Drosophila melanogaster: one gene and its partners. The protein of the gene in region 2 interacts with the protein of the main gene of each other region in a pairwise test. Each region holds a gene or a part of one and is shown on either strand. Other genes may lie near its edges.

Region 1 (6,412 bases), on a different chromosome or scaffold from region 2:
AAGCTGCGGATGGGATCCCTGCCAATGGAACCCCTTCTTATTTGGGCTCTTGGCGTGAAGGTGTCGATGGAGGAGGTCAGCGAGTCCCGCTGCTGGAGAATGCCCTTCTGCGGAATGGCCAGCTTGCTGCGACTGTGGCGTCCACTCATATTGAACTGAACCGATGGGCGTGGCGAGTCATCCGTGGTCTGGTGGACGAGGTGACTGGTGTAACCCAGCGCGGAGGGCAGCTCAGGCAGTCGCGGCTCTGAGCCAAAGATCGATCTCCGTCGAGGACTGATCTGAGGCCTGCCGGCCGGCGATGAGGTAGTCGTCGATGTCGACTGAATGGAGGCGTGTCTTCCTCTGGTGGGAGCTTGTTGTGGAGGCCGAGGAGCAGAAGAAGCTGCCTGTCCCGTGGAAAGTATCGTGAAAGCAGTCTTTTTGTGTGGACGAGGTTGCTCCACTCTAGAGGGGACAGAAAAACTTGAATATATGTATTATCTTTATGGATATTTTCCACAGGATAACCTTACCTATAATCTCCGCCCATAGGTATTGAATCCCTGATGATAACTGGGGACATTTCCCGCTTTAAGCTATGTTCAGGCTCCACACTGCGGCTGTCATCCTGCTCCGTCAAGTCAGTTCTACGGAAAGGGGGCGGGTCTGCCGGTGGAGGTGGCATTCTATAGTCCTCCAGCGACTGCCTCTGGCTACCTCTCTCCAGACCCAACTGTTCCTCCAGATATTGCTTCGGTGAGAGTACAACGTCCCTGCTAACGGGCCTGCTTTGGTTGGGTGCCACTCGCTCCTCTCCGCCGCTGCTCGAGCTGTTCATGTCCTGGATCATGGTGGCCAGTGGGGAGAGAGGTCCTTCATCCTGCTTCATCGACATAATCATTTTGGAGCTGGGCCGCAATCGTGGGATGCGTGTGAACTCTGGAAAGTGCTGTGGCGCCGGACGGAACCAATCCCTTCCCGAATAGGAGTCACTGAGTAATCTAAGAGGAGGTAATCACGAAGGATTAGTTTGGATAATATATTGGTGTATTCAAATACCAACCCCCTGTGGTCCTCCGTCGTGATGCTGGACACACTCAACTTGGCGGGCGCTTGGCTAGGAGTCCTCGTCGGCTCATCTTCCTCATCATCGAAAGACATTCTCTGACCGACTACGGTGTACTCCTCGACCTCGTTCTCCAAATCATAAACGTCCGGCTTGTTCAGAATGTCATCGGGGGCCAGGAGCCGATAGTTAGGTGAGCCCAGTTGCTCTGAACTGGAGCCACCGCTCGAGTTGGGCAGAATCTGGATGTCGGGTGGCTGGAGATAAGGCAGTAGGGATCCTCGGGGAGTCCTCGAGTACGGGACACTCGGAAAGATGCGTTCCCTGGCCGCAGGAATAAGTGCGTTCAGCGCCATGGCGGCCACCAGCGCATCCTCCTCGGAGCTGGGCAGTTCCACAGACCCATTTCGCAACGTCTCAAATGCTGCTGTTCCGAAGTAATCATCCGGCTGCAGAGGCGGTGGAACCGGATCCCCAAAGAGGCTACTATACGGCTGGGCATCCGACTCCGAGGGCTGGCGCACAAAGCTCTGATTGGAGGCGAACGTGGAGGGTGCCATCGATTGGGCGGAGAGAATGGAGCGGGTGGTATGGGTGCGATAGCTATAATCAACCGGGATGATGGCCGGCTGGAACGCGGACTCGCCTCCAGTGGATCTGGGTCGTGGTATTGGGTTCGTACTTGGACGTATGTTCAGATTCGGTGTCAGATTCGGGTTCGGTGGCGGCGTCTGTGCGGCTGAGGCTGATGGCATGGGCATCGGGGATGGGGATGGCGATGATGATGAGTACGAGAGGGTCTGCTGCATGGCTTGACATGGGTGCTAACCGATCTTCGGCCCTCATGCATTCACTATGATTTCCTATCCATTGTTGCAGCGTTTTTGCGAAATTCAGTCGTGGTTGCAGTAGTTGGAAGCCGATTTCCACGCAGGACACTCCGCGTTCGTCCTTCGCTTTAGTTTAAGTGCCACAAAACCAATGACGCCAGGAGCTGTTTATTCGAAGCAACAGAATGTATTTAAAAATCACTCACAACACCCATGTGCGCACATCTTTTGATTCCACAGACAGACGACCAGCGAGACCTTCCGGCCCTCTTGCAATGTCAGAGAGACGTACACGCGACGCCTTCACCGGCGGAGAACGGATAACGGAACGAGGAGCACGGAGCACGGAGTAGGCAGTCCCAAAAACCGGAGAGCGAAACTGAAGGGCTGCCGGTTTCATTGCCAATTCGCAGTGATGGAAAAGGGTATTGAGTATGTTTACCTGGGCGAATTTTTAAAAATAATAATAAAAGTAATTTCTGTCTTCATACCAAGTAACTTTTTTCAAATATCCTAAATTTTTAATAGCTTGAGTAAAGTAATTTAAATTCATCAGCAATTAAAAAAAAGTAATTAGGTACAACTGCCCGGATACGTCCGCTTCCATCACTGGTTGTGGCAAAAATAGTAGAGTAATTATTACTGCACGGCTTTATTTTCTAATGCCATTTCACTCCACATTCAACTATAAATAGCTGCGTGCGAGGCGCTGATAAAGCCGCCCCGAAACCAAACCGATTTGAAATCGGAATCGTTATGGTATGCCATGCACCTGCTGCTATATGCGAATCCGAGTCGGACTCCCAACTCCCAAACGCTTGTCTTGGCGCTAACGAGAGCATAACTTGATGAGGAGGCCTCAAAGGCTTGAATGGGGGGAATGGGGATGGGGATTTGCTTTTGGGCGGATGGCTTCGGCTTGGCTGGCTGCACCGGCGTTGCATGTTGCAAATTGCCGCATTAGTGACTGCACTTGAAGTCGAACGACCCGGCAGATGTGGAAGCCAGCGGGCTGAGACTATCCTATCACCAGAAGAAGGCGATGGTTTAATTGGAGCTGTGCGGCTGGGTACGCAGATATTTTAGCGAAATGACGTAGCCCATGAAGGTTTTGGGGGGGAAGGTGGAGGAAAGGTGTGAATGAATGGCCTTTGTTCGCATTGATTTTCCTCTGCCTAATATTTAACCTACATTTTATGGCCCGCCGCTCGAATTTCGGTGACACACTTTGGGCCAAAAGGAAGTGACTTGGCCGGCTCCTTTTCGTTCCTTTCGTTTTGTTTTGGCCATGACGCGTTTTGGGGGAGTTGGCCGGCTCCCAGGCGGCTTAAGCTTCCTATTTGCGAATTGGTTTTTTAATCGCTTGCCGCATTACACGCAGTTTTCTTGCATCTCATTAACGCTCGGTCACACTTGAATAACGAATTTTAATACCTGCCACGTCCACACTGACTGTGTTAGTTTGGTCCTGGAGCGCATTATATAATTTACATTTGGGTTTTAAGTTTAGTCTAATTCGGAAATAGAATGTATTTGCTGAAAAGCCGCAACAAATAATGGAAACGCGACGAAACGTGGCCGCTGCCTAACTTAAACTGATGGCCGACCAGCGGTAAGTGAGCAAAATGGAGGCCTTCAAGAGAAATATTGCCTACACTTCAAATCCAAAACAGCACACAATGCCCCCCCCCCCCACACACACACACACTCGGTGCCCCAACAGTTTGCACACGCAGACCCGCTGAGATATCGAGACTGGCGAACTGAAAAGCCGAAAAGAAAAGGCGACCGGGGGCGCCAATTCGCCGCGACTTTTCCGCGAGTTTTCCGCATTTCGCCGCCTAGCGAGGCGGCTGCATTAGCCGTTTGCATGTCGTTGTGTTCATCTGTGCGGCGTGTGCTTCTTTCTCAGCTCTTTCTGCCTCTTAGACAACTTTTGATTGCTTCCCCCAGTTTCCCCCGGCTGGCTGTGACACCTGTTGGTATGTCTGTGGCACGCGATGTTCCAACACTTTTGTACTTCTACGCCGCACTGCCTGCCACCGAGAAGCTCAGTCAGCTAATTTTTCATACTTTTCGGGATGCCTCATAACTTTAATGCCACTTGTATCTATTGAATGCACGCATGTATTTCAATGAACACTTTCGCTCATTTCACTTTAATGCAGTTTTATGGAGTTGGAGATTGCACATAAGAGCTCTGATTGAACGTAATGATAGGTATTAATAAAAACTTTCCTTTACTGTGTTCAAAAAAATCAGTTTAAAATACGCCTATTGATTTAGTATTGAAAGTAAATATATCCTTATTTTAAGTGTTTGAATATTTTATCCGCTAGAATGTCAAAAAATAGTTATGCGTCGCCCAAAAATTAGGATCACTTAATCACTGTGTGAAAGGTGTCTCTGCCCATAAATATTGCAAAAGGCTTCGGCAGAAGGACGCTTTTCCTGCACTCGACTGAGTGAGTATAAGACCCTCGGCGAGTACACTGCACTTTCCTTGGCTTTGGAATAGGGTCAAAACCGCAACAAATTCCGCGTTGCCTTGTGCAGCGGCTAGGAGTCAACAACACTTGGCCCGCAGCTACGAACTCCTTGGCCAGCCGGGCACTGTTGCAACATCAAGACAACAACGGCAGTGGCAGCAATAACGCCTAAAGACAGGTATGTGTGCAAACACAGACCACCCAAACCAAAGCCACGAATCCCTCGGAACGGGGGGACTTTTAAGTGGCAGTGCCGGAGAAATCCTTGGCTAATGTCGTGTTAGCCCCCAAAAACCCGCCCCTTGTGGGGTCCAACTCGAACCCCCAGTGGAGTCACACGGAGTCACAAGTCGGGGAATTCCTAGAGACATCTACGAGTTAATTGTTTTGGGCTTTTTCACTACACAACCGAGTTGGAAGTTTTTAATGTTTGCGATATATCCGACGATTTCTATCCGATTTTAGGCAGTTTGGTTTTAATTTTTAATGCACCGTTACTTGTAGAGTTATTGTCATAAAAAAAAAGGTGAGAGATTTTCAAATAAAAAACTGAATACCCAAAAAATTCAACGCGCATTTGCATCGATCCGATGCACTGCACTCGCCGTTCGTAGAAAAACTAATCCGCCGTGGGCAAATACCTTCTTATACATCGTCCTGCGCCGTGGAGCTCCACGGCAACTGACCAGTCGGGTTTAGGTGAAGAAACCACCGAAGAAAGCCGAAGTCCACGTTTGGCCAGCCACACGGGTATACGTGGGTCAGTAAACCTACTTCCGGTTGACATAAATACGCCTTGGACATGAAAACTTGGCACTGGCGGCGCGCCGCAAGTTGTTTTTATTGTTTCTAACCTCTTTTTTTTTTGCGCCATGACTCAAGACAGGTGGACAGCGTGGAGTCCACGAGTGCAGGTGTGCAGATGCAGATCTGATTCCCCCAATTGAAGGGGCTTCGATTAGCCGAGCCCAAACTCTTTGGCGGATTCACTTGATCTGGTTGAGAGAGCGCAGCAATCTAATCTCGACTTTGGGCTTGGCTAATCAAAATTCGGGAATAGTGCTGACCCTAATCTAGTGTGCCAAGCCCATGGATGAAAATTCATATAATTCAAAACTGCACCTTTGCTCACTGGGAGCGGTTGGGTAATTTTATTCGCTTGCAATAAGATTTTCCCACGCGATATGTGGCTCATCTGCTGGTCAGTTTTGTCCTTTTGCCATATAATTTGGTATCCTTGGAAGGGAATGGAGTCTACATCATGGGTTGACCCACATCGGGCACAAATTAATATCAATTGTGGCTGGCAGATTGCGTGTGCGAATATGCGGAGGGCTGGAGTAACAGCTGGACGAAGGCATGGGCATGGGATTGAAAGGCATTCAATTGTAATTGGCTGTGACCGAGGATTACACAATGACTAAGCGGTGCTCCCTGGCGAAATTAAGTCATAATTATTATGATGTGTATAGGCTTGTAAATAGCCGAGCTCGGTAATAAAGGTCACATTTTGTAGGGCACAGTCTGGGATCCTACGGTCCCGATACTCTGACCTCTTTACCGGGCTGCTAATAATGTAATTGTAATGAATGAATTAGTGGGGAACTCCAAGGGAGAGCTGTACTTCGTTGGAAATTAAGGCATTTAGACAATAAAGACTTATTTAGAACGAATGTCTTTATAAGCAACTACAAGGTACTAGCAATTTTAAGGATGGTGGGATGCTTCTAGTTCTCCACTTCATGTTTATACAATACGGCTAGGTTCATCTCAATCGTGTTCACCTGATCCTGCAGATAGTCGATATCGTGCTCATGTTGCAATTGCTGCTTCACCAGGCTGGTGATGTCCTTTTTGATGAACTCCTCCGCCTCGGACAGCTCGAATTCCATTTGCAGAGATGCGCCCACTTGAAGGGTAACCTTTTGCACTGGCGGTATGCTCACCCATCTGAATACTCCCTGTGCGATTTGCACGAGGCTGTGAACTTCCTTGTCAGGATTGTCTATGAACCTCCTCACCAATTCCAAATTATTTTTGGCAGC
Region 2 (4,319 bases):
CGCCTCAGTCCTTGCAACATGAGGTGCCACCGTGCAACAACATCAGCGGAATCACCAACATTAGTAACAACAATGTCAGCAACCTTAGCTGCAATGACACGCCGAACAACAGCCTCTTGGTGATGAGTCCTAGCAAGCAACTGCTCACTGGAAGCCACAGCATCTCCATTATTAACAACAGCTTCGATAAGGCGAGCAATAACAATCAGAGCGAGTTCCTGACCAAGAAGAACCTATTCCGGGAACGCAATTCAACTGTGATCAATGGTATTATGAAGAATATCCAGCAAACCGATAGTGCCTATAAGAAGTACGAGAACGAAGCGAACCGGCTGAACAACTATTACAGTCAGTCGCCGAAACATCAGATCCATCAGCCCATTCAGCCAACGCCGGAAGTCCTTTTGAGTCCCAAAAAAACGCTAAATGCCTCTGGGTTTGATTTCACGCCCGCTCCCCTCAGTTCCACCCCGGTTAAGTGTGATGTCCCGCCGGAACCGGAGCCACTGAGTCCGGTAAAGAAACCCGCTGCGGCACCACCACCGCCTCCTCCACCGCCACCGCCGCCACCACCACCACCTGGTTGGTGGCACGCCCCCATCTACAACAGCCCGCAAGCTCGAACCCTAACCAGTACTAACCCAGAGCTGCTGCCGCATCCTGTGGATCCTTCAGGTGGGTCTCAACCTAAACCTTAACTCCATTCCATTCACCTGTCTCTCACCTGTGTGTTGCATACTCGCGAGCGCCGCCAATACATTCACATTGCATTGCGCATCTGCCGCTGCATACTTTTGAGAGTTAAGATTTGATGAATGGGCTTAACGTTACGTTTGTTATGTATCACAGATATGGAAAGCGAGGATCAGCAGCTGCTCCTCCAGCTGAAGCGGGACCACACGGTCAAGGATCTCACCCAGAAGTTGAGCAACCTGCCAATGAGTCCCACTCAGGATTCGGCGAATCGCGCCCTCGTCGGCGATATGTCCGGTCTGATTTCGAAAGCCAAAGAGGGTCTGGCCAAGAGCAAGAGCAAGGGAGAGATATCCAGGTAAGAAAAGTAGAAGTCTTTTGATAAAACCCACTAAACCTATAGGCTTAGGCTATACTCTCGAAGTTACCCAGTGGCGTTAGTCGTTTACCATCTTTCTGGGAATCAAGCTTTTAAGTTAGGTTAGGAAACTTTTTTATAGCTCTTCCATATCAAAATCAATTGAATGCCACTAACTATCAATAAATGTTCACTCTGCTAACCCCTTGAGATTACAGAAAATGATAGATGTTTTACAAGCAAAGATTTACGAGAATATATGGCGCCACCAGTTGAAGATAAGAAATCCGTCTAAGCTATTAATGATAAGCGGTGTCATGCTTTCCGGTTATCTGATATAAGGTGTTTTACGACCTTGGGTTCATAATCTGTGAACCAATAAAACAGAATTGAAAGAAGCTCCTTCCAAATAGACAATCACTTAGTTCACAGATGGTCAAGATTTATTGGTTGGTATCAGAGTGGGCCATAAACTGTAGCTTATCCGTAGATGGGGTTGTACTTCTCGTACAGGGCGACGTAGGCGGCCTTGGCGTCATCGACGGACAGTCCCTTGCGGCTCAGCCAGGCATCGTACTTAGCGGCACCCTCGGCATCAGCGGGCTTCTCGATGTTAATGTCGCCCTCCTGGAACTGCTTGTACAGGCCATAGAACTCCAGGTACACCTCCGTTGGGGGCTTCTTGCTGAAGGCCTTGGTCTTCTCGAGGATAGCGTTGAACTGTAAATAATGGCAAATGGGAGTTAGAGAGTTCTGTGTTCCGATCTTTACAATCATCAACTTACATCGGCCATATTGCTTGAGTTATGCTTGACAAATGTGACTTGTCCCTCTCAGTGCGCCGTCTTTATACCTCCCGAAAATCGGGAAGTTCTAGTTAACAACGCTTATCTGTATATAGAAATCGATAATGGTTGCCACTGCAAGCCGATAATGTGTGAGTCCATTGTGCAAATTTATTAGATTAGATTTATGTACCAGTTTCATAAGAGTTCAGGTTTTTGCCCAGCCTGACATCGTCATCGGCTTTCTCGAATCCCTAGAAAGTAGTTTGCCGCCACCCTCGTTGACTGATTTTTGATTACTTATCATATTTATGTACATACAAAGTGGTGCTAGGCGTTAGTCTATCAAAGATAAGGTCAGACTAATCATTTATGGCCACCATTTACACGATAAAAGCTATAATTGTAGTGGCATAAACTTTTTCCTTTACAGATCTTCTAGTGTCGATCAGGATGTAAAGAAGTCTGAGCCCAAGAAGTCGGAAAATGAACTTCACTGGGAGGAACTGGTTAGGAATATGACAAGGCCCCTAAATCTTTGCGATCTGGACTTTACGGATCTGAGGGATGATGACGAGAAGGATGTGCTGGCCCCTCGAAGTTTGGGTGCCGGTATACCCCCGCCGCCTCCCCCGCTGGGTGGAGCCATTGCCCCACCGCCAATGATGCCTCCAAGCTTGGCACCACCACCCATGTACGGATATGGCGGTAGTCTAACCAATAGTGTCAATTCGTTAAATGGTTCTATAAATGGTGAACTGGTCAATGGTAATAACACCATCAAAAAGAACAAGAAAACGGTTAGTCTCATCATTGTTTAATATAAAGAATGAGAATTTACATATTGCATTTGATACACCCTAAGGTCAAGCTCTTCTGGAAGGAAGTGCGCGAGGACATGATACCGCAGGTGGTGGGCAAGACCATATGGGATGAGCTGCCCGATGCCAACGTGGACACACAGAAGCTCGAACATCTCTTTGAGTCCCGGGCCAAAGACTTGATGACCAAGGTTCGTATGCTCTAACCAATAACACTTTTCCTCATATAACACCCAATTGGTCAAAGGTTCTCGAAATTCAATGGATCTACGATAAATTGTGATTAAATTAGTCATAGGCTCTTCTTTAAGTGTGTGATGCGTTAACAAAATGCGAATGATTTTTGTATTCTTCTTTCCCCTTCTATTTATGGATATATTATATAATTCTTAATACCTAAATGTCGAACGGTCTGTTTGCGGATAAATCTACATAAATGTTGTGCTAAACTCAAACCAAAATGCAAATAATTCTCAAATATTCAAATGTTTTCCAATGTCTCTAGGAGGTGAGTGCCAATCAAAACGTTATTAAATTTGTTTGTCTTTTTGTCTCTCTATCTCTCTACAAACATATGTCGCACCATAACTCACGATCTATTGCCCATTATGTTTTGTGTTTTGGTGTTGGTTAATATAACTATTTTCATATACACTCTATCACACCCACGTACACTTGAAGAAATGATTTAGTTGCTAACAGTACAGAACAGCACAGAAACTCCAATCCAATTCCGCACTTTGCACCCTACACTCTCGTTTTCTCTTTGCACCACTGTGTTCTTATCTCTGACCGATCGCAGCCTGATCGAAAGGTATTAACCCTTTCCCGCTGACCTTGCAGAAACAACAAGAGCTGAACAAGAGCAAAGAGATCATCGTGCTTGATCACAAGCGCTCCAATGCCATCAATATTGCGATCACTAAGCTGCCTCCTCCGAGGGCCATTAAGACGGCCATCCTCAAAATGGATGCCACTGTGGTCACACGGGAGGGAATCGACAAGCTACTCAATATGCTGCCCACTGATGAGGAGCGTGGCAAGATCCAGGAGGCCCAGTTATCCAACCCAGAGTTGCCCCTGGGCAGCGCCGAGCAGTTCCTTTTGACCCTGGCCTCCATTTCGGAGCTGGAAGCTCGCCTGAAATTGTGGGCTTTCCGTCTGGACTTTGACAACAGTGAGGTAAGTTATAACGCTAAAGATTAGAAAACATACAAAAGTTAATTCTTACATGGCCATCATCTTTTTTAAACTACAGAAAGAGATTGCGGAACCGCTGATGGACCTCAAGCAAGGCATTGAGATCCTGCGTCAGAATCGCACCTTCCGCAGCATCCTCTCTACTCTGCTGTCTGTGGGCATCTTTTTGAATGGAGCTCCCGTCAAGGGATTCCAGATCGAGTATCTGGCAAAGGTTCCGGAAGTGAAGGACACGGTGCACAAGCACTCGCTGCTGCACCACCTCTGCCACATGGTCATGGAGTCGAGCAGTGATACTAGTGATCTGTACTCCGAGATCGGACCCATTACGCGAGCCTCCAAGGCGGATTTCACGGACTTGGCACACAATCTCAATCAGTTGGAGGCGGAGTGCAAGGCATGCTGGGATCGTCTGAAACTTATTGCCAAACACGACTGCCCGCCACCGTTAAAGCAGAAGCT
Region 3 (6,121 bases), on a different chromosome or scaffold from region 2:
TGGGCGACTACGGGAATGGGCGTGGCCGCGCCAGCGGTCGGAGTGGCTGGCTGCAGCAGCGGCGAATCCAAGCTCCCGTTTCCTCCGCCGCCACTGCCTCCGGTCGAGGAAGTGCCTCCCAAAATGCTGCTTGTGGCACGCGTCAGGAACCAACAGTCCATGGGCGTCGGTTTGCCCTTCATGATAACGGGTCCGCGGTACTCCAAGTGGAACGAATCATCCTGGTTGATCGCCATACAGAGGAGCCTGCAAAAAGGAAAGGAAAAAGGGGCAGATGCCATAAGTTTCAGGGCGGAAGGCACTGTGTAAACTCAACTGTTATTCTTCTTTGGGGTTTAGTATAGTGTAAACTGAAATTTCGTAAATAAAACTTTCTTAAGTAGAGTAGCGCAGTAAATAATTCTATCCAAAATTACAAAGTAATCACCGAGTTTTAATATCACTTACGAAGAGAAATAAAGACAGAACGTTATGTATAAGCTATATCTTTAAGATGCAAGCAAATTCAGTAAGCAAAGAATAGTAGTGCTTAACATTTGAGATGTGACTCCTTTGGCAGTCACATAAATTCGAGTTAGGGAGTTCCGTTGTGGACTTGGTCTGATGCCATAATGCACTCTGAATGATGTATATCTCGGGGGTCGTTTTTTTTTCTCAATCTGCACACCAATAAATTGCCATCGTAATTTCCACAGTGGGAGACCCCTTATTCAGCTATTAGATTGCATCGCCAGAAATTATGTAAATTCGGTTATTGTGCTCCATGTGCCCGCACAATCGAGTGCAGCATAAAACGGAAGCGAAATAAAAATTTCGCCAGGCTTGTGTGCATTTCCGCTTCCGCTTGGCTCGACCACAGTGCAACCACACATTGTTGCATTTATTCGGACTCATATATTTACGGCCAATACGCCGCTGATTGGATACGAATTTAATTCAATTAATTCGCTACCTTTGCGGCATCGGATAGCCTGCATATGGCCACAATTGCATTGCCCTTTTAATTAGCGCTCAGGTGAGCCTGTTCAGGTGAAAATATTGCCATGTTGTCCTGGGTAACCAGCACAAATATGCACCGTTTTAATGGACCTGAGTTAATTACACTGTGCCGAATGTCCTTCGACACTTATTTGCATATGCGATTAAGGCGAAGGACCCGAGGAATCCCTACCAGACATGATTATCCCAGTCATCATCTCTGGATCCCTTGGTGTGCGTTCTTAATTAATGTTTATGGCAGTGCTTAAATATTTACCCAGCGCTTAATTGTCAGCCCAAATATTAAACGTGCAAATACGGCGAATAATGGAATGAGTGGGCCTGAATAATGTATGGGAAAATTGATATGTCCCGCATAAACAAATATTAATTGGCAAAGGGTGATAGAAAAACATGTAAACAATGTGCACAATTGCTATTTAAAATATGAATTTATTTTGTAGCTGAGAAATTTACATGACAATTGGAGTCGTGTTTTAAAATACATTTGACGTGGCTAAAGCTCGAGAAAACACTCCTATTGTTTACAGATTTAAATCCGTGTATATGAATATTTGTTGCAATATTTATTTCAAAATGATCCCCTTGAAAATGTAATGGATTCATTGAAGGGGGATTAGTAAATCTCTAAAAAGATAGCTTAAAGCGGTTCGCTTTATGATAATATCGGTTTCACTCTGGAATGAAGTATCGAGTGACTTTGTATTAGTTTTCAGTTTTCCGTTGTAAAATCAAATTCATTAATGATTTAAACCGAAAAAAGCACTGAAACATTAAACAGCACACCATCAGTATTTATTTCGAAATAAATATATTTTTGTTGAATCAAGCATAATCCTTATAATGACAAACCAATTATTTTTCAGTTTAATATTGCAAAATCACAAAAACCTGCGTTTTTATGCGCCATTTGATTTTATGCTTATCGCCAAACATTACCCATTTAGCACAAAAATAATGTGAGAGCATACATATGTACTATATATTTTAAATTGAAAATTCCAATTTAGAATCTAATTTAGCTTTATGCTCATGAAACGCGTATTTAATACCTCCGCTACTCTCTGTACAAAGAGAGAGTGGAGAGAAAGCGGGAGAGTGAGCGCTTAGGTAAACAGCTGAGCGTTCTTAGAAATTGGACTTCGTTTGTTTAGTTTTCCAGCGGCAGCTGATGAGTGGGGTGGAAAATTGTGTGAGTGCGCTGCGTGCAGTGAATAAATGGTTCGGAAAAATGCCAGCAAATTTCAAAGTGCAATAGACTGTTTAGCAAAAACCAATCGAATTGAATCGAATCGAATCAGTTTCAATGGAGTCCTCGAGTTCCATTCGGTTTTTGAAGAGCTCATAGAAATATACTTGTCGGCTGGTAATCAAACACCTGTTTGCCAATTGCTTTGCTGGGAGCTTCACGGAAATAAAGAGGCCTAAAAAGTAATTGAACTGTATATCAGCTTTTGAATAAGCTTTACATACTATGTAATTATTTTCTTATATGATTGCAATGCTTAAAAATATTAAAATGAATATTCCGCATGCTCATTATGAGTTGTTTATGTTTATCAAAAGTTCTCCCAGCACATCATTGCCAGCTGCAAAAAATCGATAGCGCAAGAGAGTCACCCCCGCAAAAGAAATTCTCTCTTTTTTGTGTATTGCGACTCTTTGGCTTCAGCGGTGCGGGAGTTTTTTTGAAGCGGAATTTCAATTCTTTGGAGGGAATCATCAATTCAGCTCAATCGAAAATATTTGCCTACTTAAAGTGAATTAAATTTTGTTTGCAATATGCTTTCGCAGTTGCTACAGGCTTTCCAGCGGCTGGTAAGTCAATTAAAAAGCCAATTTGTGTGGGTTCGCTGCTGGTTGCCATTTCCACGGCATTTCTACGGTTTCCGCCGGGAAACTGAGTCACGGGCACGGCTGCGTCTGCGGGTGCGGGAACAACTGCGTCGGAATCCTGCCAATAGGGCCAGTCACCAGCGGAACCGGCGAACCCAGCGCCGCCATCTGGTCATGGACTACATCTTCGAGTGCTTCTTCGACGACACCTTCGAGCAGATCTCCCGCAACGGACTGCAGGACCGCCAGTCGCGGCGAGATGTCCTCGACCACCTGAGCTCCATCATCAAGGGCTGCAGCGGCGGCCAGAACTCGCAGACGGATGAGGTGGCCGCCATCGCGGTGACGGCGGCCATGAGGTACCACCGAATGGCCAAGGAGCAGAACGGCCAGGTGAGCTTTATGTACAAATCGAGTGTTGCCAATGTGGCATTTCTGTGTGCCAAACTTCAATAGTTAATATGAATAAATATTTACTTAAAAGAGTCCATACAAACTAGCACTGGGCTTTAGCAAAGCTCAACTTAATTAATAATGATTTGACAATTAGTTTCCGGTACTTAAAAAAACGAAATAAATAATTAGAACAAAAGCCAAGTCAGTCTATTTCGTTGTCGTATTAAATAAATGTTAATGTTTAAACCAAGCCTTATGAATGGAAACCAATGATTAATTAGCCAAATAACATTGCTTTGCTTTTGAGTCGAATAAAAGTGGAATTTAATAAAGCTTTCTAGAAAACGGTTAGAAAAGTACTAAAACTATGCATAAATATGTATATCCTGCTGCTGCGATCCAATTGACCTTTTAGAGTGTAAATAAATATGGAAAGTTGTTTCGGGCTTAATTTCCTTTGGCAGAGTCTGCTAAACTTAATTTTCTTCCATTTTAAATGCCATCTCTTCATATGGCAATTATTTATAATTTAAAAAGTAGCACTTCAGTTGGGATTCAGCCCCTTCACCACACCCTCCATTCCATGCGTATTCCCCAGGTCTGCCTCATGGGCAAGTATCACAACATCCTGTACATCGGACTGCGCACCTGCTGGGATTGGGGAGTCCGGGACTCGGAGGTGGTCGTCAAGCTGCTGGGTAAGTGGAGTCGGGCCAACTAAATAATTTAATTTAAATGCATATGTATGCGTATGTGTGCGTAAGCGTATGCGAGTGAGTGTGCGTGTGTGTGTGGCAAGACTTTCCTGTTTGCTTTTTGGGCGTGGCTGTGTGCTTTGCATACTTTAATAAATATCATCCCATCGCATCGGATTATTACGCCCATAAGCAGGCAGTTTTCACTTTAATCACGTGTTTCTGCTAATTGCGTTAAGAAAGTGTTGCTGATGTCGTTCTGTTGCTCTGTTGTTGCTGCATCGTAAAACTTGTAAAGTGCCTCAAAGTGTTGCAAGTTATTTGGGGCGTACGCATGTTGGCTGCCTCTAATTAAAAGGCTGCGTAAACTTTTGCGAGCAGGAAAAGTGCCTGGAATTAATGGCATGCCTCTGTCAGGGAATCTGGACTCGTGTGCAATAAAACTTGCTCCTTGTTTGTCCTGTCCTCACTCACCAAGTTGCTTTGTTGCTGACTCCAGCCTTTTGGACCCGCTGGCCTTGGTTTGGCAAACATTGTGGCCGTTTCCGTTTTCCGCTGACTTCATTTCTGGGCTGTGCCAAAAAGCCAACGAAACCGAAAGCCAAAAAACCAAAGCAGCAACAAGTGCAGCCACGTAATTAGCTTTTTTATGGCTGCGCTGCTGCGATTTGATGACATTATTTAACCGCTTTCTCCACTACCGACAATTTGCCTGCATCGCGGGAAAATCGGTCACAATGTGTATACAAATTTGGTTTATGGCATTACCCACTTCGAAATGTTATTAAACGTGGCTTGTTTTATATAAATTAACTTTTAACTATTTTCCTGTTCCCATGACTAATTTATCCCCTTTTTGTGCAATTCAGTGGCCATTTACGAGTGCGAGAAGACATATGAGCGCATTTTCCTGGGCGCCCTGTTTGGACCACATGCTCCGCACTTCATCGCCGGCTGGCGCAGTGACTTTCAGGATCAGGTGAGACTGGCAGAAAGACCCTATTCCTGGCCCCGTGGAATAGACACCCATGTATGTCCTTTGTTCGCAGCACGAGAATGTCCGGGCTATGGTTTACTTTCTGAAGCACGCCACACGCGAACAGCTCACATTGCCCGTCTGGATTCCGCGCTTCGAGCAGGAGCGACAGCTCAGGTGAGTCCTCAGCCCGGTCCCCATCCTGTCCTGACATTCTCCCCTTTTCCCCACTCCCCCCTCTTCACTCTTTCATGTGTCGCGCTCTTTTGCTGCCTCGAGCGATTTTCACACTAGCCGGGTTAATTGGATAGTTGCCTGGGTGCCATGCCGAGGTCTTCATTCCCCCAAAGAGTTTTTCATACTAGCTGTATGCTTGGACATTTATGGAGAGCTCTTACTTTCATAACAGTCACAGTAAGCCTTTCTATACACTTAGCTTATGGCTATCAGAGCAAATTATAAGTTGCTTACAAAGCAAATCGCCAAGAATTAAAGATTAAACTTTAAAATTCGGATTATGTGCCGAGATACCGATCAATCTTAATGGCTTGCCAGTTTTCCACACAATAATAATGTTTTCGGTAACAATAAGATACTATAAATACCCGCTGGGAATGCAAGGAAATGGTGGACGAACGTGAAGGGTAACCAGAGAAATGAAAGGATTTTAATTAAATTAATTCATCAGCCATTGTTGTGGCACCTACACAGAGTGTGTGTGTGTGTGTGACTGCCATAATTGAGTGAAAGATGGCGACAATTTACAACCACAGACACGACTGCGAATACACTTTTACAGAGAATGGCTCTCAATCACTGGCGGTGGCTTTCTCTCACTTCTGCTGGTGTCATGTATAATTAAGATTTTCATTTGCAGCTTGCTTTTGGGGGGGGGTTTCCCATTTTCCGCCTTCTTTTTCCGACCCTCCCACATGCACATGAGGTCCGTGTGTGAGTGTCGCTGATGCGATAAGCTGAAAACCAACAGGCAGCGATGTAAACCTTTTGTTATTTCGGCTTTGTTCGCCAGCACTTCGGAGGATTAAAGTCAAAAATGCGTGTAATAAGCGCACAAAGGCATGCTCAACCCCACCACGCCCACTAATCCACACAGATACAGCCCGCCCCCTTGGATATACCATACCCATACCATTGCCGAGTTGACTGTTTGCGCTTCTTAAACAAACAGAAGGCAAAAAACATACTGACTGGCAAGCAT

Evidence for each region.
Region 1: the proteins of Acbp5 (region 2) and stum interact in a two-hybrid assay, tested with the Drosophila melanogaster proteins (one large-scale study listed by BioGRID).
Region 3: the proteins of Acbp5 (region 2) and stops interact in a two-hybrid assay, tested with the Drosophila melanogaster proteins (one large-scale study listed by BioGRID).

What each region holds. Positions count from the first base shown.
Region 1 is NT_033778.4:21,671,960-21,678,371, reverse strand, and holds the start of stum (stumble), read right to left. Parts: upstream 3,472-6,412; 5' UTR 3,070-3,471; intron 2,299-3,069; exon of another isoform or gene 2,043-2,298; 5' UTR 1,858-2,042; coding exon 1,046-1,857; intron 984-1,045; coding exon 516-983; intron 448-515; coding exon 1-447. Other genes in the region: CG15676 (uncharacterized protein), read right to left, coding at 6,095-6,412.
Region 2 is NT_037436.4:8,786,670-8,790,988, forward strand, and holds Acbp5 (Acyl-CoA binding protein 5), read right to left. Parts: upstream 1,877-4,319; 5' UTR 1,846-1,876; coding exon 1,837-1,845; intron 1,772-1,836; coding exon 1,532-1,771; 3' UTR 1,475-1,531; downstream 1-1,474. Other genes in the region: Fhos (formin homology 2 domain containing), read left to right, coding at 1-675, 850-1,051, 2,270-2,636, 2,702-2,848, 3,501-3,839, 3,916-4,319.
Region 3 is NT_033777.3:31,165,134-31,171,254, reverse strand, and holds the start of stops (slow termination of phototransduction), read left to right. Parts: upstream 1-2,650; 5' UTR 2,651-2,781; coding exon 2,782-3,228; intron 3,229-3,829; coding exon 3,830-3,929; intron 3,930-4,795; coding exon 4,796-4,905; intron 4,906-4,975; coding exon 4,976-5,079; intron 5,080-6,121. Other genes in the region: Gycbeta100B (guanylyl cyclase beta-subunit at 100B), read right to left, coding at 1-246.